7 linked regions of the Sus scrofa genome follow. The protein of the gene in region 7 interacts with the protein of the main gene of each other region in a pairwise test. Links are inferred from orthologs where the notes say so. Each region holds a gene or a part of one and is shown on either strand. Other genes may lie near its edges. The genes, in order: RIBC1, SFR1, FAM110A, SGF29, FAM81B, EPC1 and RINT1.

Region 1 (4,108 bases), on a different chromosome or scaffold from region 7:
TCTAATCGAAGCTACAGCTGCCGACCTATGCCACAGCCACAGCAATGTGAGATCCAAGCTGCATCTGTGACCTACACCACAGCTCACGGCAACACTGGATCCTTAACCCACTGAGCGAACCTGCAACCTCATGGATACTAGTCAGGTTTGTTAACCACTGAGCCATGACGGGAACTCCCCCTCCAGTCTATTAATACAGGAGCCAGAGTGATCCTCTAAAACTCAAAGACACACAAGGGTGTGGCACAGTGGGTTAAGGACCCATTGTCACTGCAGTGGCTCAGGACGCTGCTGTGGCATGGGTTTGACCCCTGGACTGGGAACTTCCACAAGTTTTAGGCACAGCCAGAAAAATCATATTGCCACGGCTTCTATTCCAGAATAGAAGCCGCAACCTTTACAATGGTCTACAAAGTTCTACATGCTCTGCACCGCCCCCCCTCCATCTCTCTAACGTCATGTCCTACATAATTCACTCACATACTTGCCTCCCTGCTATCCCCTTGAATGTGTTTCTCTCATATCCACCTTATGGCCTTTGCACTTGTTCCCTCTGCCTGGAGTGCTCTCCTCTTAGATATCTGCATAGGAGACTCCCTCACCTTCTTCAAGTATTTGCTCACAAACTGCCTTCTCAGTTATGCCTTCCCTGACTTCCATATTTAAAATTGCAACACTCCACCAATTTCCTTGGCACTTTCCAGTTCCCCTTATCCTGCTCTGTATTTTTTCCCAAAACACTTACTTTCTTACAAACTAATGTACTCTCTAGAGTCTGTCCGTCCTCACTAGAAAGTAATTCTCACAAGGACTCAGATTTCTTTTTTGCTTTTTGCCTTTTTTAGGGCTGCTCCCACGGCATATGGAGGTTCCCAGGCTAGGGGTCCAATCAGAGCTGTAGCCGCCAGCCTACACCACAGCCATAGCAACTCGGGATCTGAGCCACATCTGCGACCTACACCACAGCTCACAGCAACACCAGATCCTTAACTCACTGAGCAAGGCCAGGGATCGAACCCGAAACTTCATAGTTCCTAGTTGGATTCACTAACCACTGAGCCACGATGGGAATTCCCATGTTCTATTTCTTTTTTGTGTGTTTTCTTTCCCTTTTTTTTTTTTTTTTTTTTTTTGTCTTTTTAGGGCCGTACCAGCGGCATATGGAGGATCCCAGGCTAGGGGTCCAATCGGAGCTGTAGCTGCCGGCCTGCACCACAGCCACAGCAACGTGGGGTCCGAGCTGCGTCTGTGACCTATACCACAGCTCATGGCTACGCCGGATCCTTAACCCACTGAGCGAGGCCAGGGATTGAACCCGAAACTTCATGGTTCCTAGTCGGATTCGTTAACCACTGAGCCACGACGGGAACTCCCATGTTCTAATTCTTAAATTGAGGAGTTGGTTCATGCTCTTTTATCATACTTCCTAATTTGCATATGGCTTATATATAGTCTTCTGTATGTATCAACTATTTTAGTTACAAAATGGTTAAGAAAAAGAGAGAGACTGGAACTAGCTATAGAAGAAGCTGAGGAATGGCATTCCAAACAAAGGAAGGCAGTGTACAAAGGCCCAGATATGAAATATATCAGGAAATAAAATCAGTGGGAATCAGTAACTGGTGAGATACTGTGGGGAGAAAGGTGGGGTGTAGTTAAGGATGATGGATAGCACTGATTGGCCATTCACCTTACCCTTGCTCCAGATGTTTAAGACAGACCTGCCACCAGATCCCAAGGAGGCAGCAGCCATAGAGGCTAGAAGAAATCGAGAAAAGGAGCGACAGAGCCGATTCCTCAATGTGCGGACCAGAGTCATGGGGGTGAGTGGGTAGTGGGAACTTTCTCTGGAGCAGGGTCCTGCTCACTCTTACACCTGGAGAAGAACATAGCAGTGCCCGTCACAGCCTGTCACAGCCCATCACAGCCCCTCCCTGATTCAAGCAGACCCTAAGGCTGGAAAGGAAGGAAGAGGGGGAAAACGCACCCACACCCAGAGTGGGAAGGGCCTAGGGGTGCAGGGGAAGAAACTGGGAGAACAGGAGCCAGTGTCAGTGGACTCTCCTCCAGTTAGCTCCGGGCCAAGTGGCCTCGTTCCTGAAAGACAGACAAATGGAGCCAAAAGAAATCTAAGGACTGTTTGTGTTGCATTTGCCTAAACTCTGGAAGGCTGTATAAGAAACTGTTAACTGGCCTGAGGACAGAGATGGGAGGGGCACTTGCTCATCACTAAACGTATTCCCTTTTGCACTACTTTGAAACATTTTAAATGAATTCTAATCAAAATAGTGTTTTTGGTTTTTGGTTTTTTAGGGCCACACCTGCGGGATATGGAATTTACCAGGCTAGGGGTCCAATCAGACCTGCAGCTGGCGGCCTATGCCACAGCCACTGCAACACCAGATCTGAGCTACATCTGTGACCTACACCACAGTTCATGGCAACACGGGATCCTTAACCCACTAAGCAAGGCCAGGGATTGAACCTGAATCCTCATGGATACTAGTTAGGTTTGTTTCCACTGAGCCACAATGGGAACTCTGAGAAACTATTGATAGTTTAAGAAAAAACAAGAGTGCTGGGTAGGTAGGTGAGTGGTGTGACTGAGAGAAGTTGGCAAGTGTTTCCTCAGAGCCTACTCTGTGCCAAACACTGGGTTGGGCAGTAGGGATACACAGGTGACTAAGGCCCATTCTCTGACTTTAGCAGGCACACGGTCTGGTGTAGGAGATAACTTCTGGTGTAGGGAAACTTCAATATAATGTGGACAGTGGGTCCTTGATTCTATGGGAGTAGCACCTGCTGGAGGGGTCAGGACAGTGAAGCCAGAGCTGGTCTTGAGGGATGAATAGGAGTTCAGGGGTACCCTTCATGGGTAAAGAGGAGAGGAAAGAGTATTCTAAATGCAAGCAGCAGCTGGAGCAAAGGCTATTGGTTCAAAATAGCCTAAGATGTGCAGGGAACTGGATGCAGAGCTCCTGAAGGTGGGACAGGGGAAAAGGGAACCAGGACAAGGTGGAGACAGAAGCAGAGGCTAGACCATTGAGGGACTTACAAACCATGCTGTGATGGTGAACATCATCCAGTAGGTGTTGGTTATCCTACAGGAGGATTCTGCAGCAGGTAAATTCTGAGCAGTTTGTGTTAGAGCATGCAAGGCCCGCTGCTGGGCCCTTACCCTGATTTAGTTCATTTCTTTGGGATCAGGTGGACGTTGAAGCCCTGAACAGCCAGGTGGAAGAGCGAAAGCTTCAGGAGGCAACAGAGCAGAGCAAGAAAGCAGCTTATGGTAAAAGCCCAAGGGCAGAGGCCAACCAAGGGGGAAAACAAGGGCCTGAGTGGGTTAAAGGAGGGCAGTTCTGCCTCAGAGTGGGGCCTGAGGCCTGAGGTGTCTTGGGACAAACCAGATGGGCCTTTGGGAGCAGTGGCTATGCTGAGTGGGCTCTGTCCCTCCCATGGGGCCTTCTCCATGTCCTTGCCCACCACCCAGGTACTAACCAGGTGCAGTATGATGTGGTGGCTCAGATGCTAGAGAAAGAACAGGCAGAACGGACACGTCGGCTGGCCAAGAAAGTCCAAGAATTTCGGGAGCAGAAGCAGCAGCTCAAGAACAGGAGTGAGCTTGACCTTTGGGATCCACACCGACTCTGGAAGGAGTTTCCACCTCATCTCAGTAACAATGATCCATACTGTGGCCCAGCCAGCCTGCAGTACTTCTCCGGGGAGGACCTGAATAGATCCACACACCTGAGAATGCAGCAAGAGCAGTTCAGATATAGCCTGGAGAGGCAGCTTCAAGAACAACAGCAAGCCAGAATTGACTATAACTGTGCAGGTAAGCTGCAGGGCCATCCAGGTTACGACCTAAGGCCTAGCAAGGAGCTGTCCTGAGCTGGGTATAGCACCCAGAAAACCAGTATTGTGTTGGGAGGTCCAGTTACCCATAGGGCTGATGCTGAAAGGGTAAAGTGAGCAGGTCCCAACCACCCTGACTTCCTTCATCAATTGACAGTATAGCCATTGAGCCCCAATCAGCCTGGCACTCCATTACCTGGAGGCAGCAGAGAGACCACAGGCCTAATGGTTCTGCAACTTTCGCTGGTCTGGG
Region 2 (4,110 bases), on a different chromosome or scaffold from region 7:
CATATGTAGCATAACAACTAATGAGTGTTTCCTACTGCTGTTCACCCTGTCATGAGTTCTCACTTAATTCTCCAGTATCTAGGTTGATACTATTATCCCCACTTTATGGATGAAAAAACTGAGGCACAGAGACACTACATTACAAAGAACACAAAATAATGGTGTTGAGATTTGAACCTAGGCAACTGGACTCCAACATTTACATCCCTAACACTGCATTATATCGTCTTCAGGATCTGTATTTATATTCCACTGTTCAGGACACCTTAAATTCCTACCGGGTACTGGCTACTTCTAAACCATTATTATTTTAGTGAAACACAGTATCAACGTTTAAATTGGCCATTCGCTAGGATTCAAAACATTGGATCCTTAAAATTTCCAACTTCCACGTGACTCAGAAATTACTCAACTGTCTTCTCCTAAACCTAGTGCTCCACCCAATTTAATTAACTTTGTTGTTGCGCAGCATCAGAACGGCAGCACACAGGAAAGGATTATTTTAGATTAAGGATACTGCTGCCCAGCATTCAGCGAGGGCAAACTTCTGGACCAATACAATCTTATTCAGCGATTGCTGGGCTTCCTGTGTTGCACCACGACAAATTTTCCTTGGACTACATTTTTTTTTTTTTTCCTCTCTCTCAGATTTGACTTAACAATTTGAAGCCAAGCTAAAGAATCTAAATGTTGTGGTAGATTCAGCAGAGAACTCATGGACGTGCCGCCGAGTTTGCGGCAGCAAAGGCTAAAAATTAGCTCAACTGCATCCGCTCTCAGATTTCTAACCTGTTTGACTCTCAAAAGGCCATTTAAGCCAGCGCTGCTCTTTTGTGGTCTCGCCTTCGGAGTTTACAAGCTGTAAATTTAACACAGCCGGCCCCACGTCTCTGGGTCCCGTGCAGCGTGAAGAAAGGCCTTTGCTGTGGAGAGCGCGGAGACGAGACAGACGCCGGCCAGATGAGGGCAAGCATTCTTAGGCGTCCTTCTCAAACACACAAAACCCAGGAAGCAGGAAAGGAAGGCAGTGCAAGGAAACAGTAGGGAGGAGAAGCCGCGCAGAGAAACCGCCCCCTTCTCGAGAACAGTCTGCCATTTAAAAGCTCAGCCCGGCGCGCGCCTGACGCCCGCGGAGGCTCACGGCCGCGCGCGCGCACAGTCCCGAGCCTCCCGGGCGCTGGGCGGAGCAGAGCCGCGCGCGTCGGTCAACTCAGCCAATCATGTATCTCTGCCCCCCCCCGCCCCCGCTTGGCCCCGCCTCGCCCCGCCACCAAGCGAGGCTCGGGGCCGCGCGCGCGCAGTCGCGACACTCCGGAACGCGAGGCAAAGCCAAATTGCGCGCGTCGGTCGGCCTGGCCAATCGCGCGTCTCTTTGGCCTCCCGCGTGGTCCCGCCTCCGAGACGCTTTGGCCAGGGCTGCGGCCGCGCCCGCTTGCCTCGCAGCGTGGGGATGGCGGCGGGAGGTAGGGTCCAGGGCGCCGAGTGGGTCTCTGTTTAGGAGTTGACTGGGGAATGGAGCTGCGCTCCCTCTGCGCGGCGTGGGAACCTCTCAGCTCCACCTCAGGCCTGGGGGCTCGAGGCTCGAGTTGGTTTTCTGCATTGGCGGGCGGGGAGGGAGTTCGCCTCCCTCTGGTAGTTTGCTTGGTGAAGTTGATGGCGTTTGTTTAAGAAACAAACTTCTGTAGACTCTCCCTTTCAGTATCTCTTCGCCATTAATGGAAAACAATGCAGACAGGAGTGAATTAGTCTGTGCTTATGCTCCTTGTTCCTCAGGCCTGGAGCGTCGGTCATTGGTTCTAGTCACACAACTTTGATGATTAGGGTAGTGTGACTGGTCTGATTATGTGTTTTTGAGTCAAGACTTAATTTATGCTCCCTTTCATTGTGAAGCTGGCGTAATGAAATTGGCGAAATTAAAGAATTCCTGACTGTACAAAGTTGTTATTCTCCCTACCCTCCACGTGGCAGATTTTGAGGACTTCATCAATAAGAACAAGTGGAGAGTTGTTTCTATAAGAAGCTAGCGGGTTAACTTGTCTGAAAAAACTAGTAGTCACCATATGGACCAACACTATCTGGTTTAGGAAGGTAAATGGAAAACTGCAGAAGGATCAAGAATGAATCACAACTAAATGAAAAGGGAAGTTGTGGGCTTACTTGTGGATGTTACACACAACAGTAAAAAAAAATTACTTGATAAAAATTGAGGAATGTAGAGGTATGGGTTCATTTGATTTCCATTATTGCTTTTTTAGAAGTAAACCAAGATTTCAAGATGGGAAGTCCAGACTCAGCTGTGATTTTACCTAGCACTCCACAAGCCGGTGCCAATCCACCATCTCCCCCTACAAGTAGTACAAGAAAACAAGTATGAAAATCTAATATTTTCTAATTTTATATTTCTAAGTATTGTGTCACGGGTGGTTTTAAGTCTATTGAAGATTGTTAACAATGTGTAGACTAATAAGTAAAAATTTTCTTAGCAAAAATTTTTAAGTCATTCCCCTAAGGTAATGTATTGGACACCCTCCTCCCTGCTCCCGCCCAAGTTTTCATCATGAATCAATAATTTTCATTTAGTTTCAGTTCAGGTTATTACAATATTCTAAACAGGAAGTTTGAATCTGTGAGGTCATAAAGGTCTTTGGTAGAAAAATCTAGGTCTTTTCCTTAATTTGTAAGTCTGAAGCACCTAGAATAGTGTCATGCGTGGGCTAGTTACTGAATAAATGTTTGTGATTACTGGGATAAGTGTCTCCACACTGTTTTAGAAGGGGGCTGACTTTGCTAAAATAAAAAAATAAAATTTAGTCGAGCTTCCAGAAATTGGACATTGCGTGATGGTTACTTTAGATATATGGAGACAGAAAGCCATCTAGTGGTTCTGCTATAGAAATGTAAAGTCTTGATTTTTAGTGGATTTATTTATGTCAAGAATTTTTTCTTGGAGTTCCCTTCTGGCACAGCAGGTTAAAGATCCAGTGTTGTCACTACAGCAGCTCAGGTTGCTGCTGTGGCACAGGCTCGATCCCTGGCATGGGAACTTATACAGGTGGTGGGTGCAGCCTTTAAAAAAAAAAACGGAGGTTTTTCTTGATTAATAGTATCAATGTTTGATGTCTTTTTCAGCCTATGAGTGCAACCCTTAGAGAAAGGTTAAGGAAAACTAGATCTTCATTTAATTCCTGTTATAGTGTGGTAAAACGACTTAAAGTTGAGAGTGAAGAAAATGATCAGACTTTTTCAGAGAAACCAGCATCTTCAGCAGAAGAAAAAAACTGTTTGGAATTTCAAGAAAATTTTAAACACATAGACAGTGAATTTGAAGAAAGTCCATATTCGAAAAATACCTTCAAGAATATCAGTGCATGTGAATCTAATTCATTTGATACTGAATCATGCAGAGATCTCCAAGATGATTTTATGAACGAGAATCTTCCTAAACAAGGATTAAACAAAGAAAAAGCAAAATTGGTGAAGCAGATTCAGGAGAAAGAAGACCTTCTTCGAAGGCTAAAACTAGTCAAAATGTATAGATCAAAGGTGAGAATTTCAGAACCATTGCCTAATTATTTTTTGATTTTTTGATAAATGGTAGGAAAGCACTTCATAAAGTTTATTTTAGCGTAATAAGCTAAGAAACCTGGCTTCCAACAACTTTAACTCAAATATAAGTCATAGATTTAGAGTAGAAGAGGCCTCTAAACAGCAGGTACAACTTTTGGAAAGTTCCAGCCCTCATTTAGTATGCAGTGGAAGCTTTTCTCTCTAGTTTCCAGCTCACAACAGTATTAGAGGTTTCAGATGTTAGCTGCAGGTTGCAATGAGAACAGAAGTGACAGCTGACAGGGAATGAGTTAAAAATCTAAAAATGGGCCACAGAGTATAATAAAAAGTATTCTTAGTAGTGATCTTGCATTATTCCAAATTATTAAAATGTTCCAAGTATTCAAGAAAATAACAAATATATATTAGATTTTAGATTTCAACTCAGATAGCTGAAGTAAACAGAACTTGAGCACTTGGAAGAAGATGACCCTTATTTACCTGGATCATTCATGTATATTGAAATTGTTCCTTCTTCCTCAACAATGTAGAATAGGTGATGGA
Region 3 (4,162 bases), on a different chromosome or scaffold from region 7:
TAGAATCTTTCTCCTCAGATGGTTATGAAGTCAAGTGAGACATTGTGAGTATGGCCTTGAGCACAGTCTAGCAAGGGCACAGTTAGTGCTGGGTTTTGTATTTAGCTGGTCCTCACAGTCTCCTGTTGATGTCAGAGCCAGTCCTGAAATGGCTGGCTGTGCCCATGCCAGAGTACAGTCATGGTTAGCTAGGGCTACATTATTAGCCCTCTTCCCTCACCTGCCCAAGGCATGTCACAGTCAATGCTCAATCACTGACAATCCAATCAAAAAATGAAAAACACCAGTTGGGACGGAAAACAGTCTGACTCCAAAATGAGCAATGCCCTAGACCCAAACAGTGACTCACAGCTAAAAAATTCCCTCATCTGGAAGGGCTGAGTTAATTTTTCTAATTCTCTTTTTAAAATTTGTTTTTTGGAAGTGCCCTTGTGGCACAGTGGGTTAAGGATTTGGCATTGCTGCAACTGTGGCACAGGCTGCAAATGTCATGCAGGTTCAGTCCCTGACCCAGGAACTTCCACATGCTGAGGGTGCAGCCAAAAGAAAACAATTATACTGGTTTAACTGTTGGAAGCTTGGAAAATTCATATCAGCAAAAAGAAGAAATTAACTATTGCACATGTTAATACATAAATGTAGTCCATGTGATATTACAATTACATATTTAATGCATATTTACATTGTACATAGTACTTTGACACAACTTTTAGAAATATAAGACTTAGTGCTTTCCCCATATTTTAACGTCATTCTAAATGACTGCATAATATTTCTCATCAGAAAGTGAGGATAGTTAAAGGTACCTATAACTATGAGCACTGACAAGAGTTGTGTCATGAAAAATTACTTGTAAAAAGCTCTGTAAACTCAGTTCTTCTGCAGGATGGATTTATATATCCAATCTCCTTTTACTGAGCACTGAAGTTATTGCTGTTATTTTGCTACAGTAAATAAAGCTGGGCTATATTAATCTTGTTCATATATTCGGTTATTTCCTTTGTCAATATTGAGAGTGCTGGATATACGCTACTTCAAACTAACCCACTCACTCTGCAGATTGGGGAACAGAGAGGGAAAGGGGCGTGCACGGGCTCACAGAGCGAGTTAGTTGGAAAGTCAGTACTAGGAACCGGGAGTAAGTCCCTGCTGAGCAAGGGCAAGAACCAGAGGCCACTGGGGAGGTGAGAGGCGGTGAGGGGCGGGGATGGACCTCGGTGCCGCCGGCCAGGGCTCACCCTCCTGGCTGAAGCTGAGTGGTCGCCTGGCAACGCGGGCGGCGCGGCGTTCGAACGGAAGCGAGAAACCAATCAGGATGTCCGGGGCAAACCATTCCGGTGTGGTGGAGGGGGGAGCGGCGCGTTCACTTCCCCTTCCCCTGCGTCCCCAGAACTTTACTCTGGTGGGGGCTTGGAACAGTCGAGTCCCCTACCTCCTCTCGGGTGTTGAGGGCAGCTCAGAAGGACCTCCCGTGCTTCCCTACGCGGGGCTGGGGCCTCCCGAGACGCGTTGTGTGCGACCGTTCCCCGCCTGGGTCCGAGCTGTCAGCCTCCTCAAGACCCGCACTGGAGGAGCCGGACTCGCCTAGCGCGGGCTCCAGGTGAGGGCACGGGTGGCCCGGGGCGCCAGCCCGGGTCTAGGGGGTGCTCAGTTCACCCTGCGCCTGCTGTGCGCGTCCTCCCCGCGTGGTACCTGCGGCGAGGAGGTGGTACCCCATTTCACAAATGAGAACGCTGAGGCTCAGGGAGGCAGTATCCTAGTCTAGCAGAGAATCCGATACAGGTCTTTCTGCTCCATACCTCAGTCTCTAGTCTACGTTGATCTAAATAGATCTGCCTTGAGAGGCTCAGATGGGTCACTTTCTTAGCCTCTTATCAACAGGAACATGGACAGTAGAGCCCTGGCTGGAGCCCCATCTGGCTGTCCCTCTCCCGTGTCGTCCTGCGGGGTGGGGGTGGGGGGTCCCCTCCTGGACATCTGTCTTCACTTCTCCAGAAAGCCAGGGGGTGGACTTTGGGCTCACTTGGGATCTTTCTGCCTGTGGGGCTCTGAATTAAGTGCTGTCCCTCTCAGAGGCTCTGGTGGGACTGACATTTCTGGGCTAGGTGCCAGGGGGGGCTGCTCTGGCTCTCCAGTTGTTGTTGGATTCTTGGGAATCTACCACAGGTCGGCGGGAAAGGCTAGAGGCAGCCCCTCAACCAAAGACACTAGTCACCAGAGACTTTGGAGTTGGGGGTGGGCCTGGGATCCCTCCTGGTAGAGCATCTGACCAGGCTCTGTTTCCTGGGGACCCCCACCCCCTATCTCCCACCCCCAGGTTGCTGCTGTTGCTGTCCTTTTGTAGGTGGGGAAACTGAGGGTCTAAGAAGTTAAGCCCCTTGCCCAAAGTCATATGGTCAGACTTGGCAACTCTGGGGCTGGCTCCCAGTCTATCTGGCTTCAATCTTGGATTCCTAGACACTCAGAATGGTGGCATCTGGAAGTCTGGAATCTCTTTAAGTGGAGTTACTTACCCTCTCTCCTCCAAATCCACCTCCTTGGTGGGGGGGAGAGGAGTTCTGGAAGCTCAGAAAGAAAACAAGTCTTTCCTTCATTCTTTTAACAAATATTTACCAACTTCATATGGCCCCACCCTCCCCCTTCTCTATTTTGTTTTTCTCAGTAGCATTTACCGCGCTGATGTCCTATAATTTCACTTATTAGCAAGTTTATTATCTTCTCTGACTGGAATGTGACGCAGGGAGGGGTTGGGCTAAGTGAGGTAGTTACCTCCAGTGCAAAATTGAGGGGTGCCTAAAACCCCAGTAATCAAATGACTAGAGCTAACATTTGTTGATCATTTGCTGAGCGCTCTGCTGGTGGGAGTTCAGTCGATATGCAGCACAGCCCCCCAGCTCTGTCGCAATTACAGGTGCTTCCTCCTGACCTAGCTGTCCCACTTCTAGGTGGAGTGACAGAGGTGCAGTGAGGCTGCAGTGTGGTTTGTAATAGAGAGAGACGACACACATACTTGGTGGCCGTTGCTAGAGGCTGACAGGTTCTTTATGTACTGATGTGGCACAATTAATAACATAATTGATAATATGTTAATAACACATATTAAGAACAATATAACTGAGTTAAAGAGCAAGATGAAAACAGTACAGAGAGCTGTTGCCATATGTGTAAAAAATAGACTATATGTCCATTATTGTTTGTTTGTGACTAACATCTCACTGGGAGGACGTGCAGCTATCTCGTCGCAGTGATGCCTGCAGGGAGGGAAACTGGGGACAGGAGTGGGAGGGAGGTTTTTTTTTTTAACTTTATTCCCTTTAGAGCTTTTGAATTTTGAGCCACATACATATATCACCGGGTTAAAACATATATGTCTTATAGGAGTTCCCACTGTGGCGCAGTGGAAATGACTCCGACTAGGAATCATGAAGTTGTGGGTTCGATCCCTGGCCTTGCTCAGTGGGTTAAGGATCTGGCGTTGCCGTGAGCTGTGGTGTAGGTCACAGATGCGGCTCGGGATCCTGTGTGGCTGTGGATGTGGCAGAGGCTGGCAGCTGTAGCTCCAATTGGACCCCTAGCCTGGGAACCTCCACACGCTGTGGGTGAGGCTCTATAAAAAGGAAAAAAAAATTATATATGTATATATATATGTATTATAGATGATCTAATCATGAGACCACTGTCCTGTCTCTGTTCTGTCACTTGCTCGTGACTTTGGGTAAGTTTCTGTACTTCTCTGGGCCAAGAAAAAAGGCCATGATTGTGAGCTCAGGCCCAGGCAGAGGGCAGCCTGGGACAGGAAGTGGGCTTGGTTGTGGGTCAGTCCCAACCCCACCTTCCTCATCCTGTGTGCCAGGCCCTTCCCAAAGGCTTTGCATGGCAGTATCTCTGCTGCCAGTCCCTTTGTCCTCATCTTGCAAGCTCAGGTGCACACCTGGCGTCCAGAGGATTGAGTGGGCAGAGGTGTGAGGTCGGCGGGCCAAACAGGAGATCGTTGCCTTAGGCTGCGGCACCCACACCCCTCCTGCAGCCTGTTTACCTCTTCTTTCTGAGGTTTGTGCAAGGTTGCCCTGGGCAGAGCTGACTCCAGGCAGGCTGGGGCACGAGTGTCTGGGAGAAGTCCAGAAATAGCACGGGGCCCGCGTGGCCCTAGAGGATGCCCAGC
Region 4 (4,258 bases), on a different chromosome or scaffold from region 7:
ACGCCAGATTGGAGGCGCGTCTGTGACCTACACCACAGCTCACGGCAACGCCAGATCCTTAACCCAGTGAGCGAGGCCAGGGATAGAGCCAGCAACCTCATGGTTCCTAGTCGGATTCATTTCCGCTGCGCCACGACAGGAGCTCCTGTTGCTCTGATTTGACCCCTAGCCTGGGAATTTCCACATGCCGTGGGTGCAGCCCTAAATAGCAAAAAAAAAAAAAAAAAAAAAAAAAAGAAAGAAAGAAAAAGAAAAAAGATTAATCCAGTGATACATGTTAACTGATACATAGTTATTGCAGGAAACTTCAGAAATTAAAGATAAATTCAAACAAACAAAAAAATTGAGCCCCAGGAGTTCCCTCTTGTTCAGTGGGTTAAGGATCCAGTGTTGTCACTGCTATGCCTCAGGTTACAGCTGTGGTGCAGGTTGGATCCCTGGCTGGGAAACTTCCACATGCCATGGCACAGACACCCCCGCCCCAAAACGAGCCCCAAATCTCCCTTGAGGAGAAAATAAAATTGACATTTGCCATTCAGGAGAAATAGCTTCTGAGACTTCATTTTTTTAAAAAATTTTATTTTATGGCTTCTCCCGCGGCACATGGATGTTCCCAGGCTAGGGGTCCAATTGGAGCTACAGCTGCTGACCTACACCACAGCCACAGCAACACAGGATCAGAGCCGCTACACCACAGCTCATGGCAATGCCTGACCCTTAACCCACTGAGCAAGGCCAGGGATCAAACCTGTGTCTTCACAGATGCTAGTCAGATTAATTTCAGCTGCGCCACTACGGGAACTCCTGAGACTTCAATAAACACGAAAATGCGAACTCCTTGCTTCTGTAAACCCCATAAAACGCAGGATATAGAACTGAGACTGGGTAGATGGTCATGCAACTTACTGAGAGACCACAGAAAGAAGAGTAAGTTTGATGGTAAAAAATGTTGCATTAAGTTTTGGGCTGAAATGGTTTGTGTTGAAGTCTAAGACTCTAATATGAATTTTAAAAAATAGAACGCTTATTATATACCAGCCACTATGGGTGTATATAGGTGAATAAAACAGTGGATCCTAACCTCCCTGAGCAGGCAAGTGTACCAAACAAACGTAAAATTTGGTATGGGTTATGTAAGAGATTACAAGATACTAGGATGTAAACCGTTGTGGTTAAACATTTGCTCACAATGACAATATGTTCCTGACAATACTCTCTAAAAGAATGATATCTGGGTTTACAGATCTGCTTATTTCTATTTATTTTTAACATTTTTTAAATGAACTTTAATTTTTGAAGCAGTTTTAGCTTTCCAGCAAAATTGAAGGAACAAGTACAGAGTTCTCATATGCCCACTGCTCCCCCTTCAATCAACAATCTGCTCGTTTAAAAATTTTTTTATTGTTTCATCGAGGTTTTGGTAATAGGAGTGGATACTGAAAACACGCTCTGGTTGGTTAAAACAAGGTTCAGCTGAAGAGGCGGAAACTCTGTGTCCAAGTAAAAACTACATTTCCCAAGGAGCAGCGCGGCACGGGAAGAGAGCGCACGCGTAGAGAGGAAGACAGCGCACGCGTAGAGAGGGTCTCGCGCTGCTCATAAAAGGGAAAAAGCGTGCGTGGTTCTTGAGCCGCCGCGAATCTTCGAACGTGAGCGCGTTGTTATCCGCAGACTCTGAAAGGCATTCGAGGGAAGACGCGCCTGCTCCCGCCGTCGCAGTTTCCAGCGCGACTTGCTTATTCCACCCGTGGTTCTGTAGGTGGGTATACGTCGTGGTCTGAGGCACTGCTTGGCTCCCCGCACCCCCGCTCGGAGAATGGCGGGAGCGGAGGGCCGGGGGGTCCCTGTTCTCGGGCGTCGCTGAGGCAGCTCTTGAGAGGCAGTGCGCACGCGCCCTGGACCGGGAGAGGCGGGGCGCTGGGAGGGAGGGCTGGCGCCGACCTTCTCTGGTAACTGACTGCGCCTGCGCTCGCCGGCTGGAAGAGGGTGGGAAGCCGCTGCACGTGGAGCTTGGCTCCGTGGCTGGGAGGGGTGGGTACGCACCCCAGGTGCGAGAGAACAAGGGCAGAGGATGGGGCCCGCACTTTGGCAGCTTTCATTATTTGCTGAAGGTGTGCTTAGTTTAACAACCTCATTCTTCATATTCCTCCAGGTGCTTTCTATTTCACTGCAGCCAAAACTTCATTCTCTACTCATTAGCCCCTTTTCTCCTTCAAACACACTCCAGTAAGGCCTTGGCTCTCACCCCTCCACTGAAATGGAAATGCGTGCTTCATTTGCTATGCGGAACATTCTCGTCTTCAGCTTCAGCTCTTTCTGGTTTCTCCTCTGCTGATTCTTGCTCTAACTTACCCTCAGTGGTTGGTTGTACTGCCCCACAGCCTCATCTTTGATCTCTTTTCTGTGCTGTTTCCTAGGCTTTAAATACTCTCTCTTTTTTTTTTTTTTTTGTCTTTTTGCCATTTCTTGGGCCGCTCCCGTGGCATATGGAGGTTCCCAGGCTAGCGGTCTAATCAGAGCTGTAGCCACCGGTCTACGCCAGAGCCACAGCAAACGTGGGATCCGAGCCGCGTCTTCGACCTACACCACAGCTCACGGCAACGCCGGATCCTTCACCCACTGAGCAAGGGCAGGGACTGAACCGGCAATTTCATGGTTCCTAGTCGGTTTTGTTAACCACTGAGCTACGGCGGGAGCTCCTAAATACCATCTCTTGTGTTTAACTCTCAAATTCTTGTCCTCAACTCATTGCTCTACCTGAAATTTTGAGTTTTACCATTCACCTTCTTCAGTTTTCCAATTTTTCAAACACCTTGAGTTATACTAGATGTCTTTTGCTTCCCCTCTGTCCTCTTTCTCCATCAGTCAGTACATGTTTATCTGTTTATATACTTGTTTATGTGGCCACACCCACAGCATTCCTAAGTTCCCAGGCCAGGGATCAAATCTGAGCTGCAACTGCCAGCTAAACAGGATCTTTTAACTCATGGCTCTGGGCTGGAGATAGAACCAGCACCTTGGCAGCAACCTGAGCTGCTGCAGTCAGATTATTGTTTATTTATTTGCTTTTTAGGGCAGCAGGTGTGTCATATGAAAGTTCCTGGACTAGGGATCAAATTGCAATTTCAGGTGCCAGCCTATGCCACAGCCCATGGCAATGCCAGATCCTTAACCCATTGAGCAAGGCTAGGGATCAAACCTGAGTGCTCATGGATACTAGTCTTGTGTTGCCACTGAGCCACAAAGGGAGCTCCCTGTAGTCCGATTCTTAACCCACTGGGAACTCAGACAGTCTCTCTTCAGAGCATGTTAACAGGAACTGATTTGTTTTCCAGGATCAGGGAGAAGATACTGAACAGTCCAGCTTCAGAACTGTTGCAGTGTTTCTAAGTTCAAAGACCGTTTTAGGAGGCCTCCAGGGAGTACCCTGGTGGCCTAGTATTTAAGGAACTGGTACTGTCATTGCCGTGGCTCAGGTTGGATCCCTCTGCAGGTTACAAGTATGGTGTTAAAAAAAAAAAAATTTCCAGGATTCAGTTCAGTTCTGCACTTGCTTTTGAGGACTTAGTAGGTGCCAGGCCCTGTGCTAATTGCTGGGAATATAAAGATGAATAAAAGTGCATCTCTCTCTTTTCAGAGATCTTGGTGTGGCAGGAGAGACAAACAATATGGTAGTCTCTGGGTGCATGTGTGACAAATGCAGGAACAGATGTTTGTGTCCGGTGCTTTAGAAGTTTCTGGAAGTTCTGATTGCCCATGGCATCAGGGCAGATTAGAGGGGCCTGAGACAGCCACATCTCCCTGCCAGTTGTTTCTGGCTAGGAGCAGCTTTGTCCTTGTACCGTAGTATGCCATACAAATACTGTCGTGTTCTCTGTGTGCCCTGGTGTGGAAAAGCTTGGCAGGTAGTGCTGAAAAAGTGTGAATTTTGCTGCCATTTGATTTGGGCCCTGAAAAAATGAGTAAATTTGAGAGATCCAGAGGCAAAAATGGAGAAGGATCGAAGGGCAGACATAACTGAAACATACAGGTCTGCTTGTTTGAGGCAGGGGCCCTGAGTATTTCAATATGGGTATCGTAGGGTAAGGTCAGTAGAGAAGGCTGTTTGAGAGGTGCCATTCAGGATCTGAAGCAGTGCCTTGAGAGTGTTTTGTACACCTCAGTGTCCGTTTTTATGAATACCTCCCCCACCACAAGGCACCCTGTTCTCAGTGGGTAGGTCTATTAGCATCCATAGTTTTAGAGATTAACTTTCTGG
Region 5 (3,500 bases), on a different chromosome or scaffold from region 7:
CAGTAGGTTGAGGGGTCAGAGTTCTAACCAAAACCCTCCGCAACCATAGCCACCCGCTCCCAGACACTGGTGTGCTGGTCTCCCTTGGCACTCTATAAAATGACAGAGTGGTGTAGTGAGCATTTTAGAGTGCTTGCAAAGCATGAAATACTGTACCTCTAAGTTTTAAGGGCTTAGCTTACCACTAGAAGACATAACTTTGAAGCAAAATCAGGAGTGCTTTTTCCTGTGGGATCAAAATTTGTCATTCAGCATCCTGAACACCCTGCGTATCCTCTGAGAAAGGCAAACTCAGTACCATAATTTCAAAAGTAACTCAGCCGAAAACATCATTTCTGTATATAAGCGCCAAGTAGTATTAGAACAATATGCAAATTATAATTTTAAAACTCAGGAAAATATTTCAGAGCTGAAACAATTCAATCTTTTTGAAACAAGCCAAACGAATGAAGCAAATTTCTTCTGTGAGCCTCAAGTTCACCCACCCACCTGCCCTAGCTGCATTCTTTGTGATACTCCACTTAGTGGCCTAGAAGAGTTAGCTGCCTTCACTCATGCTTGGAGGAATATGGGAAGTACGGCAGCCTCTCATTTTCTTTGTCTAATTTGAGGGAAACTGGTCTCTAATCAAACTGTGAAGGTGAAATCAGTGGAAAGGTATAAAATGGTATAAAAATAACCATTTCCTCACCCAGTGAGACAGTGAGGTGAAGGACCTAGTGGTTTTTACAAAAATGAACATTAAGGAAAACACTTGAAGCTCCTAATCCAGGGACCCACAGACCTAAAGTATGAGAGCCAACCTCATTGACATCACAGATCCTTCCTGCAGTCACAATGCTGCTGGGCCATGCCAGGAAGATGCCCCAGGAACAAGAAGACTTTAGTCAGGATGCGATCAAGTTTCCTTAGTACTTTGGCTTTCCGAGAGAGAAAATTTTAAACATCTCTACTCCCTATCCAAAAAATCCAATCGACAAAAAATAAAGTCAGGAAGTCAAGCATCATGAGTTCAGGTATTTATCTCATGGATTATTCAAGATCTCTAAATCTCTCATACTTTGCTATCCTACATATATTTATTATTACATAAAAACAAGGTAATAAATCCCAAAGAAGACCCTTGAATGGCTCAGGCACAGTAGAGTGAAAAATCACTTCCTGTTGTTTTAGAACAGTTTGATCTAAATGAGTGCCTCTCCACAAATTTCCTAAGCTATTCTAGCTGACTGTACATGTCTTGGGGACTTGGGAGAGAATTAAGGTGGGAGGAGGGTAAAAGCAAATCGGAAGCTTCCCCTTAAACTTCATTGTTATGTACAGCAACTTCCCTCAATTAAAAAATATTTAAAAATTGCCCGCACTGCAAAAATTCGCTTGCCATAGTTCCTGATCTGATTCAGCATTCTGGTTGCCTAGATACAGATGTAAACAAAAGTGCCTCCCTGACTGCTGAGGAACAGCCAGATGAACCTGATGGCCCCCTTCCTGGCTCAGCCAGTGACCAAGAAAAGAAAGCAAGTACTTTTACATATTCGTATTAAAAATAGAATATTTTGCTCAACTTCTTCAGAGCTTAATATTGCTTAGAGAATTCTAAGGAGTCCTAGAAGTGTTGTTTTTCTTTTCACTCTCCCACATTTCCTGTTTGTTCTGCTTTGATAAAGTGACTGTTGCCAGCTCAAGCTGGGAAGGAAAAGGATCTCATTTTGTGAATACTGGACTGACTTTTAACATGTGGGGCTAAAAATTAACAAAAAAATTGATGATTATTTATTTTGTGAAAATTCAAAGGAACTATGATAAACGCAAAGTGTAGATGTTATCTCTGATATGAAAAAGAGAATAGCTAAATAGAATTTTTATTGGTATGTCCTTGTGATATCTTCCCCATTAATTAAAAAGAACATTCAAAGCAGCAGTGTTTTCAGCCTTTGCTTTGTAATTCTCGAACACCTGAGCAGCAGGCACAGCCTCTTGTGGCAGGAGGAGCACCGGGAAGTTAGCCCTATGTCAAGCACTATTTTTGGTATCTATTAGCTGAGCCACATGTTGGCTATGTGACTTTGGGCACTTAAGCTCTGTTTCCTCTTCCGTGAAATAGGCAAATTAGGCTACCATACAAAGATATGGCATTTGAATGAGCCACAGAGGCCAAAAGGACAGAGGAAGGACTCAGTCTGATTATTACCATCATCTGTATGATCTTAAGCAAGTTCCTTGCTTCCCCAATCCTGAGATTCGTCACCCATAAAAACAATCATCTTAGGTTCTTTCTGCAATAAAAAGGGATTTCAGGGAGTTCCCGTTGTGGCACAGCAGAAATGAATCTGACTAGTATCCATGAAGATGTGGGTTCAATCCCCGGCCTCGCTCAGTGGGTGGGGGATCTGGCTTTGCCGTGAGCTATGGTGTAGGTGGCAGATGTGGCTCGGATTCTGCATTGCTGTGGCTGTGGTGTAGGCCAGCAGCTGCAGCTCCAATTCAACCCCTAGCCTGGGAACTTCCATATGTGGAGGGTGTGGCCCTAAAAAGAAAAAAAAAAAAGGAGGATTTCAGTTATATAAGTTAACGATTTTTATCCATAAGTTAAAGGTAATGATTCTTACTTTCCAGGGCTATTTCAAGAATGAAATCACATCATGCATGTGAAAGTATTTTATAGTCCATTATACCATAAAGCATTGTTATGAAACTGATGAAAATTAACACATGTAAAATGTCCCATAATAATCAAGAAGTTGTTTGTGAGACAATTTTGATATAATTACTTTTAGAGTGTAGGTATAGGGATGAAATAGCTGACTCATACTCAGCAAAATTATGAAAATTTAGTCTAAAATACATTAAATAAAATTTACATTTAAAAAATTGCACAGGAAAGAGGAAATAAATGTGCCACAAGGTTAACAGCTTTTGCTCTAGATAGTAGAATTATAAATGAGAATTTTTTTCTGTATCTTCTACTTTTCTATATTTTTCCAAATTTTCCTCAATTGTCAGGTTTAACATTTGTTACCTTAAAAGCATGAGAGTTCCCATGGTGGCTCAGTGGGCTGAGAGCCTGAATGATGCTGGCTGGCTCGATCTGTGGCCTCGCTCAGTGTGTTAAGGATCCTGTGTTGCTGCAAGCTGAAGCATAGGTCGCAGATGCAGCTCCAATCCAGTGTTGCCATGGCTGTGGTGTAGACCGCAGCTGCAGCTCCAATTCCACCCCTAGCCCAGGAACTTCCATATGCCGCAGGTGCAGCCTTAAAAAAAAAAAAAAAAAGAAAAAAAAAAAGAAAAAAAGTATGTGGGTTATGGTTGTGCTTTTAAGAGGATGCTATTTATTTATAGTCTTCCAAACAAGACTTTAAAATGAACAAAATAAAATAAAACATATATATCCAATTGTTTCGCTTTAGAAGGAGAAAGGAAGACAATAAGCTGGTAACCTACTGACCTTGCACACAATATTCATTATATTCTTTCATTCCACAAGTACTCACAAAGGACTA
Region 6 (3,500 bases), on a different chromosome or scaffold from region 7:
GTGCTGCAAGTGTGGCCCTAAGCCAAAAAAAAAAAAAAATTCTTACGATTCATTCAGCCAAAGTAGTTTTATAGCAGAGGCAACTCAAAATAGTAGAAAGTTCCTCAGCACTGTTTTAGGCATGAATTTCAACATCTCTCCCAAATCTTTCACCAAAATTGCTGTGTTAAAATTTAAACCTTTGGGTTTTTCCTGCAGTTATCTGTTAATGGTGAGAGAAAGCTGTAAGCCAAAAAGTAAAAGAAAGAAATGATAGGAATTATGTCATCTGTAGTTTTAATAAGCATTCAGCAAATAGTCAAGGTTTAACTGTAATCTTACCTTAAGGCTAATCAGTGTTTGCAGTTATACCTCAGTTAGCTGTTAGTAGTCATGAGGATAAGTATGTGTAGAACTAACTTTTTAAACTTTCTTTTTATAATTTCAGGTATAATTTGGGTGACTACAATGGAGAGATCATGTCTGAGGTTATGGCACAGAGACAGCCAATGAAACCTACTTACACCATCCCCACCATCCCCATCAGCAACAGCAGTCAGTTTAAACACCAGGAAGCCATGGATGTGAAGGAGTTTAAAGTTAATAAGGTGATAAAAATTGCTCTGATAATAGCTGAAAATGTTAGTGGTGTTTTATCGTTACATTCAAAATGAGGAGTTCCCTGGTAGCTCAGCCAGTTAAGGATCTGAAGTTGTCATTGCTGTGGCTCTGCTTTACTGCTGTGGCAAGTGTTCAGTCCCTGGCCCAGGAACTTCACATGCCCTGGGTATGGCAAAAAAAAAAAAAAATCAGAGTGGAAAAGAAATATGTATGTTTATGTATATATATAAACCCTACTCTTAAAACCAGATTTTGATTTAAGACTGGACTGTTGATACAGCACTAGAAATCATAAAGAGAAATACTTCATCATTTAATAATTAACTTTTCTTTAAAAAGCTTAATGCCATAAATTGTATGAAACTTGACATAAATATTTAGCATATTTATACAACCATGATACTTGCCATGTTCTTTTCTTCCCAGGAAATATCATTTGTGCCTCTAATCTTTCTTGCCTGTTGCCTACACATGGAATTCGTACCCCCACAGCCTCTGCCATCACCTGCTATGCTCATTTGTAATAGGCACTGTGATCCTCACTCCATCACTCTTGCCTCTCTCTCTTTTATCCCTGCATTTCCCTATCTGATGATTTCATATCTTTATCCTTTAAAACTGCTCACAATTTTTCACTCCAAAAAGCTTTCGTTGTTGAGCCAGCAAGTCCTTACTACTCTTGACTTTTGGGGGTGTTGGTGGGAGTCGCCCCCACAGCATGCAGAAGTTCCCCAGCCAGGGATTGAAGCCTCGCCACAGTTGTGACCTATGTACTCTTTATTTTTTTAATACTTTTGCATCATCAATTTATTTTTCACTATGCTAACAGTTATCTGAAGTTTGCTCTGTGTGTATATAAAATTGTTTTAATTAATGCTTTTCCAGGGTTGATTTGTTACTTTTTTAAAGACTAGGCATCCCTTTTGAAAAATTCTGCCCTAGCATTTTCATAGAAGTTAAGAAAAAGATACAAGAGCCAGTGGTAAAAACTAATTGCAGTTGCAAGATCTCAGAGGCTGGAGAACTTTGACTTTAATGGAAACAGTACTTGATGATTATGTTTAGGTTGTAGGAACATACTTATGTTTTCACAGAGACCAGCCTCTGAGACTTTACAGTGTAAGACGACAAAACGTAAAGGTCTTGTGTCTCTGATGGTAGAAAGGCCTTCATTTTAGCAGTGAACTTATTTTTAAGACTTCCCCAGAACTTTCAGTTTGTTGAACATGGTTTCTAGTGTTTAATTCCTGACTGTATTGCAGCAAGATAAAGCCGATCTTACCCGACCTAAACGTAAATATGAAAAGAAGCCCAAAGTCTTACCTTCGTCTGCTGCTGCTGCCCCTCAACAGGCGAGCCCCGCCGCGCTGCCGCCCTTCAGCGCTAGAGACCTGAATCAGTACGACTTCCCCAGCTCGGATGAAGAGCCTCTGTCCCAGGTGAGTGGCGAGGGTTCTCTGCGGACACAGGCGGTAACATGGGAGGCACACGTTCTGACTGGCTTCCTTCCATTGAAAGGTTTTGTCTGGCTCTTCGGAAGCTGAGGAAGAGAATGACCCCGATGGCCCCTTTGCTTTCCGTCGGAAGGCAGGCTGTCAGTACTATGCGGTAAGTTCCTAGTTCTCTTCTCGAGTGACAGACTGTTTACCTCTCGCTGACCAAGAAAAATAATTGGGGTTTTTCTTTTTAAGCCTCACTTAGACCAAACTGGCAACTGGCCTTGGACTAGTCCTGGCGATGGCGGATTGGGGGATGTGCGATACCGATACTGCTTAACCACCCTGACCGTACCCCCGAGGTGCATTGGATTTGCACGAAGACGGGTTGGGCGCGGTGGAAGGTGAGGTGTCTGTACTCTTGCAATGGGGATGTTTTAGGTGGCGGGGTCAGGGGATCTCAAGTTAAAGTGAGGTCATCTGTCTAAAGAGCTCATTTGTTCCCACCTGCTGTTCTTAACCAATTTTTTGGACTAAAATACTGGCTACCTGTTTCTTTGTTTTTCTTTTTTCTTCTTTCTTTTTTTTTAGGGTCGCATCCATGGCATATGGAAGTTCCCAGGCTAGTGGTCAAATCGGGAGCTACAGCTGCCGACCTACACCACAGCCACAGCCACAGCCACACAGGATCCGAGCTGCGTCTACGACCTATACCACATTGCACAGCAATGCCGCATCCTTAACCCACTGAGCGAGGCCAGGGATCAAACCTGCAACCTCATGGTTACTAGGTGGATTCGTTTCTGCTGTGCCACAACGGGACCTCCTGATACCTATTTCTTATTCAGCCATAGCTTTTAATGCATAACTAATAGTTGCCTAATGGATCTGCTTTTCTTCCTGAGATTGTAAACCTCAGATATCTATTCTTAAGAGATAGAACTCTGAGAAAAGGCAGCAGATGAAGGCAAGTGTAAACCATAATTACATAAATTGTATTAAGTTAAGGAGACTACACAAAATTGTTCTAGGAGTTCTGGGAGACATTGGGGGAAAAGGATTAAATAGGCTAAGGAATGTCACATAACTAGTATACTGAGTTAACTCCCAGTGGAAAGGCTCCAGGATTCACAAGCCTTGATATCGCCTTGTCTGGACTTCTTTGTTTAAACCTGATGAAGCCCTTCACACTATAGATGCCTTGGTGTGAGAGGTTGTGTGGGGAAGGAAGAAATTACGGAAATTAAAAAAGCAAAGAAAGACAAAGACACTCAAGTAAATGTGAAAAAAAAATTTTTTTTTAAAACAAAACGGAGTTTCTGTTGTGGTGAAGCAGAAACAAATCCGAATAGTATCCGTGAGGATTCAGGTTCCATCCCTGGCGTCGCTCAGTGGGTCAGGGATCCAGTGTTGCCCTGAGCTGTGGTGTAGGTTATGAATGTGGCTTGGATCCCACATTGCTGT
Region 7 (3,500 bases):
AAGGAATTTTAGACCTTGGTTTATTTTACTTCATTTTTCCTTGCCCAATATGGGACAATATTTATAATCTAATTAAGTAAAATGAGTTATTTAAAAGCCTTGCTGTTGTAGTTGCCAAAGTAATAAATTAATTGAAATAGGCTATAGTTATAAATAGCCTTTTTCTGATGTCAGAATCATTATTTTTTTAATTTTTAAACTTTTTTTTGTCTTTTTAGGGCTGCACACAAGGCATATGGAGGTTCCCAGGGTAGGGGTTGAATTGGAGCTATAGCTGCCAGCCCACGCCAGAGCCACAGCAACGCCAGATCCAAGCCATGTCTGTGACCTACACCACAGCTCATGGCAATACCTGATCCTTAACCCACTGAGCAAGGCCAGGGATCGAACCCACAACCTCATGGTTCCTAGTTGGATTCGTTTCTGCTGCACCACGAAGGGAACTCCTGATGCCCAAAGAATCATATTAGAAATAGTCAAATTTATAATCAAGTAGGGTAGAGTTACTTCTCTTTGTCTTTAATAATGTGTTCTTGGAGTTCCTGTTGTGGTGTAGCAGAAATGAATCCAAGTAGTATCCTTGAGGATGCAGGTTCCTCGTTGGCCTTGCTCAGTGGGTTAAGGATCCAGTGTTGCCATGAGCTGTGGTGTAGGTCTCAGATGTGGCTTGGATCTGGCGTTGCTGTGGCTGTGTAGGCTGGCAGCTGCAGCTCTAATTTGATCCCTAGCCTGGAACTTCCATATGCCTGGGATTTGGCCCTAAAAAAGCAAAAAAAAAGTGTTCTTTCCCTGGGTCTTTTATGATACATCTCTCTTTCTAGCTTTCTTTGGGCTCCTGAGATTTTCCTTATTTTCTAATTTCCCTCAAGTGACCTGTTTTTTAGCCCATGGAACTTTTTTGAAGTAATTTCTTCTTTCTAGAACTAGCATCTTTACATTAACTCTGTTTCTTTCTTTTCTTTTCTTTTTTTTTTTTTTTTTTGCTCTTTAGGGCTGCACCTGCGGCATATGGAGGTTCCCAGGCTAGAGGTCTAATTGGAGCTGTACCTGCAGTCTACACCACAGCCACAGCAACTCGGATCCTAGCCGGGTCTGTGACCTACACCACAGCTCATGGCAGTGCTGGATTCTTATCCCACTGAGCAAGGCCAGGGATCTAACCCTCAACCTCACGGTTCTTAGTCGGATTCGTTTCTGCTGCACCATGACAGGAACTCCTTAACTCCTTTTCTTGACTATTACAGCACAGCAGTATGACTGTGAATAAACCTTGTTACCCTGGTTTTTCCTGTGCCCCATGTCATTCACGCTTCACTATTGTGTGAGGATGTATTTCATTGTCTCCTAGAATGCAGTACTCCTGAATCCTGTGGTTACTTGTGCACTTTAAATTCTTTTTTCTTAAACATGGTAGTCTTTGTTTTAACATAATGCAACACTTAGTTAGGAGTCATACGTCTTAGAAGTGGTTGAGTCAGTGAGAAGCTTTTAGGTAACTTGCCTGCATGCTGACAGTTGGAAAGGGCCCACAAAGACCTGCCAGTGCCTTACCTGCAGAAATACTGCATTCGTTGATGCCTAGTGAGGTAAGAAAGTGTTTTCAATTCTCGAGATAGCTGTAAAAGACAAAATCTGTTGGAAGGCTTAATAAGAATGATTAGAAAAGGAGAAAAAAGAAAAATGAGAGAATGAGTACGTAGGGGAAAGCCAAAAGAGCTGACAAAATGATACAAATATGAGCTCGGTATGATTGTTGAGGCCTGAGGCACTGACTAGAAAACAGCAACAGCTGGTAGAGGAAGGAGAGGGAAAAAATACTAATGCATGGTGGTGCTGTGCGGGATGGCGAGACACACTTCTGTTCCTAAGGAGGACGATGTGCCCACCCAGGAATGGAACTGAAGCAGCACACTGAGCCAGGGACCAGAGTCCCAGCTCATCGTCACCTCCCAGCACAGTGGCCAAGCCTGGGTGGAAGGTACACAGGCTGCTCAGCAGGGGAGCACACATTTCCTATCTCCTGTAGGGGTGACCTCTAAACTGAGAAGGTTAAATTTTTTTTTGTTTTTTGTTTTAAATCAGAAGCATTTCAGGGGTGTGGGAGGATGTGCCTGGGGTTTGGGATAGAAATGTTATAAAGTTGTGTTGCGATGATTGTTGTACAGCTATAAATGTAATAAAATTCATTGAGTAATTTTAAAAAAAGCATTTCATTTTTAAATGTTGCATGTTATTGAGTCAATATGCAAAATGGTAGTCCCGGGCTGAATTAGTCCTGAAGACATATTGTATTTGGCTTGCTTTAAAGATTTTTTTTTGTCTTTTGTCTCTTTTAGGGCCGTACCCATGGCATATGGAGGTTCCCAGGCTAGTGGTCCAATTGGAGCTGTTGCTGCCGGCCTGCACCACAGCCACAACAATGTCAGATCTGAGCCGAGACTGCAACTTGACTTACACCACAGCTCACGACAACACCAGATCCTTAACCCACTGAGTGAGGCCTGAGATCAAAGCTGAATCCTCCTAGATACTAGTTAGGTTCATAACCTGCTGAGCTGAAACAGGTGCTCTCAAACTTTTTCAATTTGGCTTTGCCTTGTTTTGCAGTGATAACATTCAGCAATATCTGATGACCAATAATGTCCCAGAGGCAGCCTCTACTCTGGTGTCTATGGCAGAGCTTGACATCAAGCTTCAGGAATCATCCTGTACTCATCTTCTTGGTTTCATGAGGGCCACTGTTAAATTCTGGCATAAGATTCTCAAGGACAAGCTTACAAGGCAAGGAGTTTATCTATATTTCATGGTCATTGCTTTCAGACAGATTTTTGAGGCTCGTATTTGACTGTAATGTATATGTCACTTGTCTGTTACAGTGATTTTGAGGAAATTCTAGCACAGCTTCATTGGCCATTCATTGCACCCCCTCAGTCTCAAACTGTTGGCATAAGTCGACCAGCCGGTGCCCCTGAGATATACAGTAATCTGGAGACACTATTTTGTCAGCTGCTAAAACTACAAACCTCGTATCTTTGTTGAGTTAAAACTGACTAAAATTTCTTTTTTCTAGAGTGGATTTGTGAGCAGAGAGTAAAGCAAGAAGTCAAATGGGACCACTGGGTTCGGAGTTTATCTGTATATGCCCATGGGGCGTGGACTAGTCTCCTTTCAGGTGATGGGTGGAAGGGCTGTGAGGAGTTCTGAGATACATGACTGATCCAAGTTTGCAATCACATATAAATCTGATGCAATCAAACAATCAAAAAAAAAAAAAAAAAAAGGGCAGGAGTTCGCATCGTGGCTCAGTGGTTAACAAACCCAACTAGTGTCCATGAGGTTGCAGGTTCAATCCCTGGCCTTACTCAGTGAATTTAAGGATCTGGTGTTGCCATGAGCTATGGTGTAGGTCGAAAACACAGCTCGGATCCTGTGTTGCTGTGGCTGTGGTGTAGGCTGGCAGCTATAGCTCCAGTTGGACCCCTAGCCTGGGAACTTCCATA

Evidence for each region.
Region 1: the proteins of RINT1 (region 7) and RIBC1 interact in binary tests that used the Homo sapiens proteins (3 or more experiments, as listed by UniProt). The two-hybrid records come from large-scale screens. The link is inferred for Sus scrofa from reciprocal best matches to the Homo sapiens genes RINT1 and RIBC1.
Region 2: the proteins of RINT1 (region 7) and SFR1 interact in binary tests that used the Homo sapiens proteins (3 or more experiments, as listed by UniProt). The two-hybrid records come from large-scale screens. The link is inferred for Sus scrofa from reciprocal best matches to the Homo sapiens genes RINT1 and SFR1.
Region 3: the proteins of RINT1 (region 7) and FAM110A interact in binary tests that used the Homo sapiens proteins (3 or more experiments, as listed by UniProt). The two-hybrid records come from large-scale screens. The link is inferred for Sus scrofa from reciprocal best matches to the Homo sapiens genes RINT1 and FAM110A.
Region 4: the proteins of RINT1 (region 7) and SGF29 interact in binary tests that used the Homo sapiens proteins (3 or more experiments, as listed by UniProt). The two-hybrid records come from large-scale screens. The link is inferred for Sus scrofa from reciprocal best matches to the Homo sapiens genes RINT1 and SGF29.
Region 5: the proteins of RINT1 (region 7) and FAM81B interact in binary tests that used the Homo sapiens proteins (3 or more experiments, as listed by UniProt). The two-hybrid records come from large-scale screens. The link is inferred for Sus scrofa from reciprocal best matches to the Homo sapiens genes RINT1 and FAM81B.
Region 6: the proteins of RINT1 (region 7) and EPC1 interact in binary tests that used the Homo sapiens proteins (3 or more experiments, as listed by UniProt). The two-hybrid records come from large-scale screens. The link is inferred for Sus scrofa from reciprocal best matches to the Homo sapiens genes RINT1 and EPC1.

The regions. Positions count from the first base shown.
Region 1 is NC_010461.5:46,206,963-46,211,070, forward strand, and holds the start of RIBC1 (RIB43A-like with coiled-coils protein 1), read left to right. Parts: upstream 1-1,308; 5' UTR 1,309-1,661; coding exon 1,662-1,823; intron 1,824-3,207; coding exon 3,208-3,289; intron 3,290-3,490; coding exon 3,491-3,835; intron 3,836-4,108.
Region 2 is NC_010456.5:115,063,645-115,067,754, forward strand, and holds the start of SFR1 (swi5-dependent recombination DNA repair protein 1 homolog), read left to right. Parts: upstream 1-1,310; 5' UTR 1,311-1,450; coding exon 1,451-1,463; intron 1,464-2,255; coding exon 2,256-2,368; intron 2,369-3,129; coding exon 3,130-3,543; intron 3,544-4,110. UniProt on the Homo sapiens protein: Component of the SWI5-SFR1 complex, a complex required for double-strand break repair via homologous recombination. Acts as a transcriptional modulator for ESR1.
Region 3 is NC_010459.5:34,434,930-34,439,091, reverse strand, and holds the start of FAM110A (protein FAM110A), read left to right. Parts: upstream 1-1,362; 5' UTR 1,363-1,600; exon of another isoform or gene 1,601-4,162.
Region 4 is NC_010445.4:18,385,131-18,389,388, reverse strand, and holds the start of SGF29 (SAGA-associated factor 29), read left to right. Parts: upstream 1-1,458; 5' UTR 1,459-1,759; intron 1,760-4,258. UniProt on the Homo sapiens protein: Chromatin reader component of some histone acetyltransferase (HAT) SAGA-type complexes like the TFTC-HAT, ATAC or STAGA complexes.
Region 5 is NC_010444.4:102,008,565-102,012,064, forward strand, and holds part of FAM81B (protein FAM81B), read left to right. Parts: intron 1-1,403; coding exon 1,404-1,517; intron 1,518-3,500.
Region 6 is NC_010452.4:42,850,023-42,853,522, reverse strand, and holds part of EPC1 (enhancer of polycomb homolog 1), read left to right. Parts: intron 1-427; coding exon 428-587; intron 588-1,862; coding exon 1,863-2,039; intron 2,040-2,118; coding exon 2,119-2,208; intron 2,209-2,291; coding exon 2,292-2,440; intron 2,441-3,500. UniProt on the Homo sapiens protein: Component of the NuA4 histone acetyltransferase (HAT) complex, a multiprotein complex involved in transcriptional activation of select genes principally by acetylation of nucleosomal histones H4 and H2A.
Region 7 is NC_010451.4:105,406,353-105,409,852, forward strand, and holds part of RINT1 (RAD50-interacting protein 1), read left to right. Parts: intron 1-2,607; coding exon 2,608-2,781; intron 2,782-2,876; coding exon 2,877-3,026; intron 3,027-3,500. UniProt on the Homo sapiens protein: Involved in regulation of membrane traffic between the Golgi and the endoplasmic reticulum (ER); the function is proposed to depend on its association in the NRZ complex which is believed to play a role in SNARE assembly at the ER.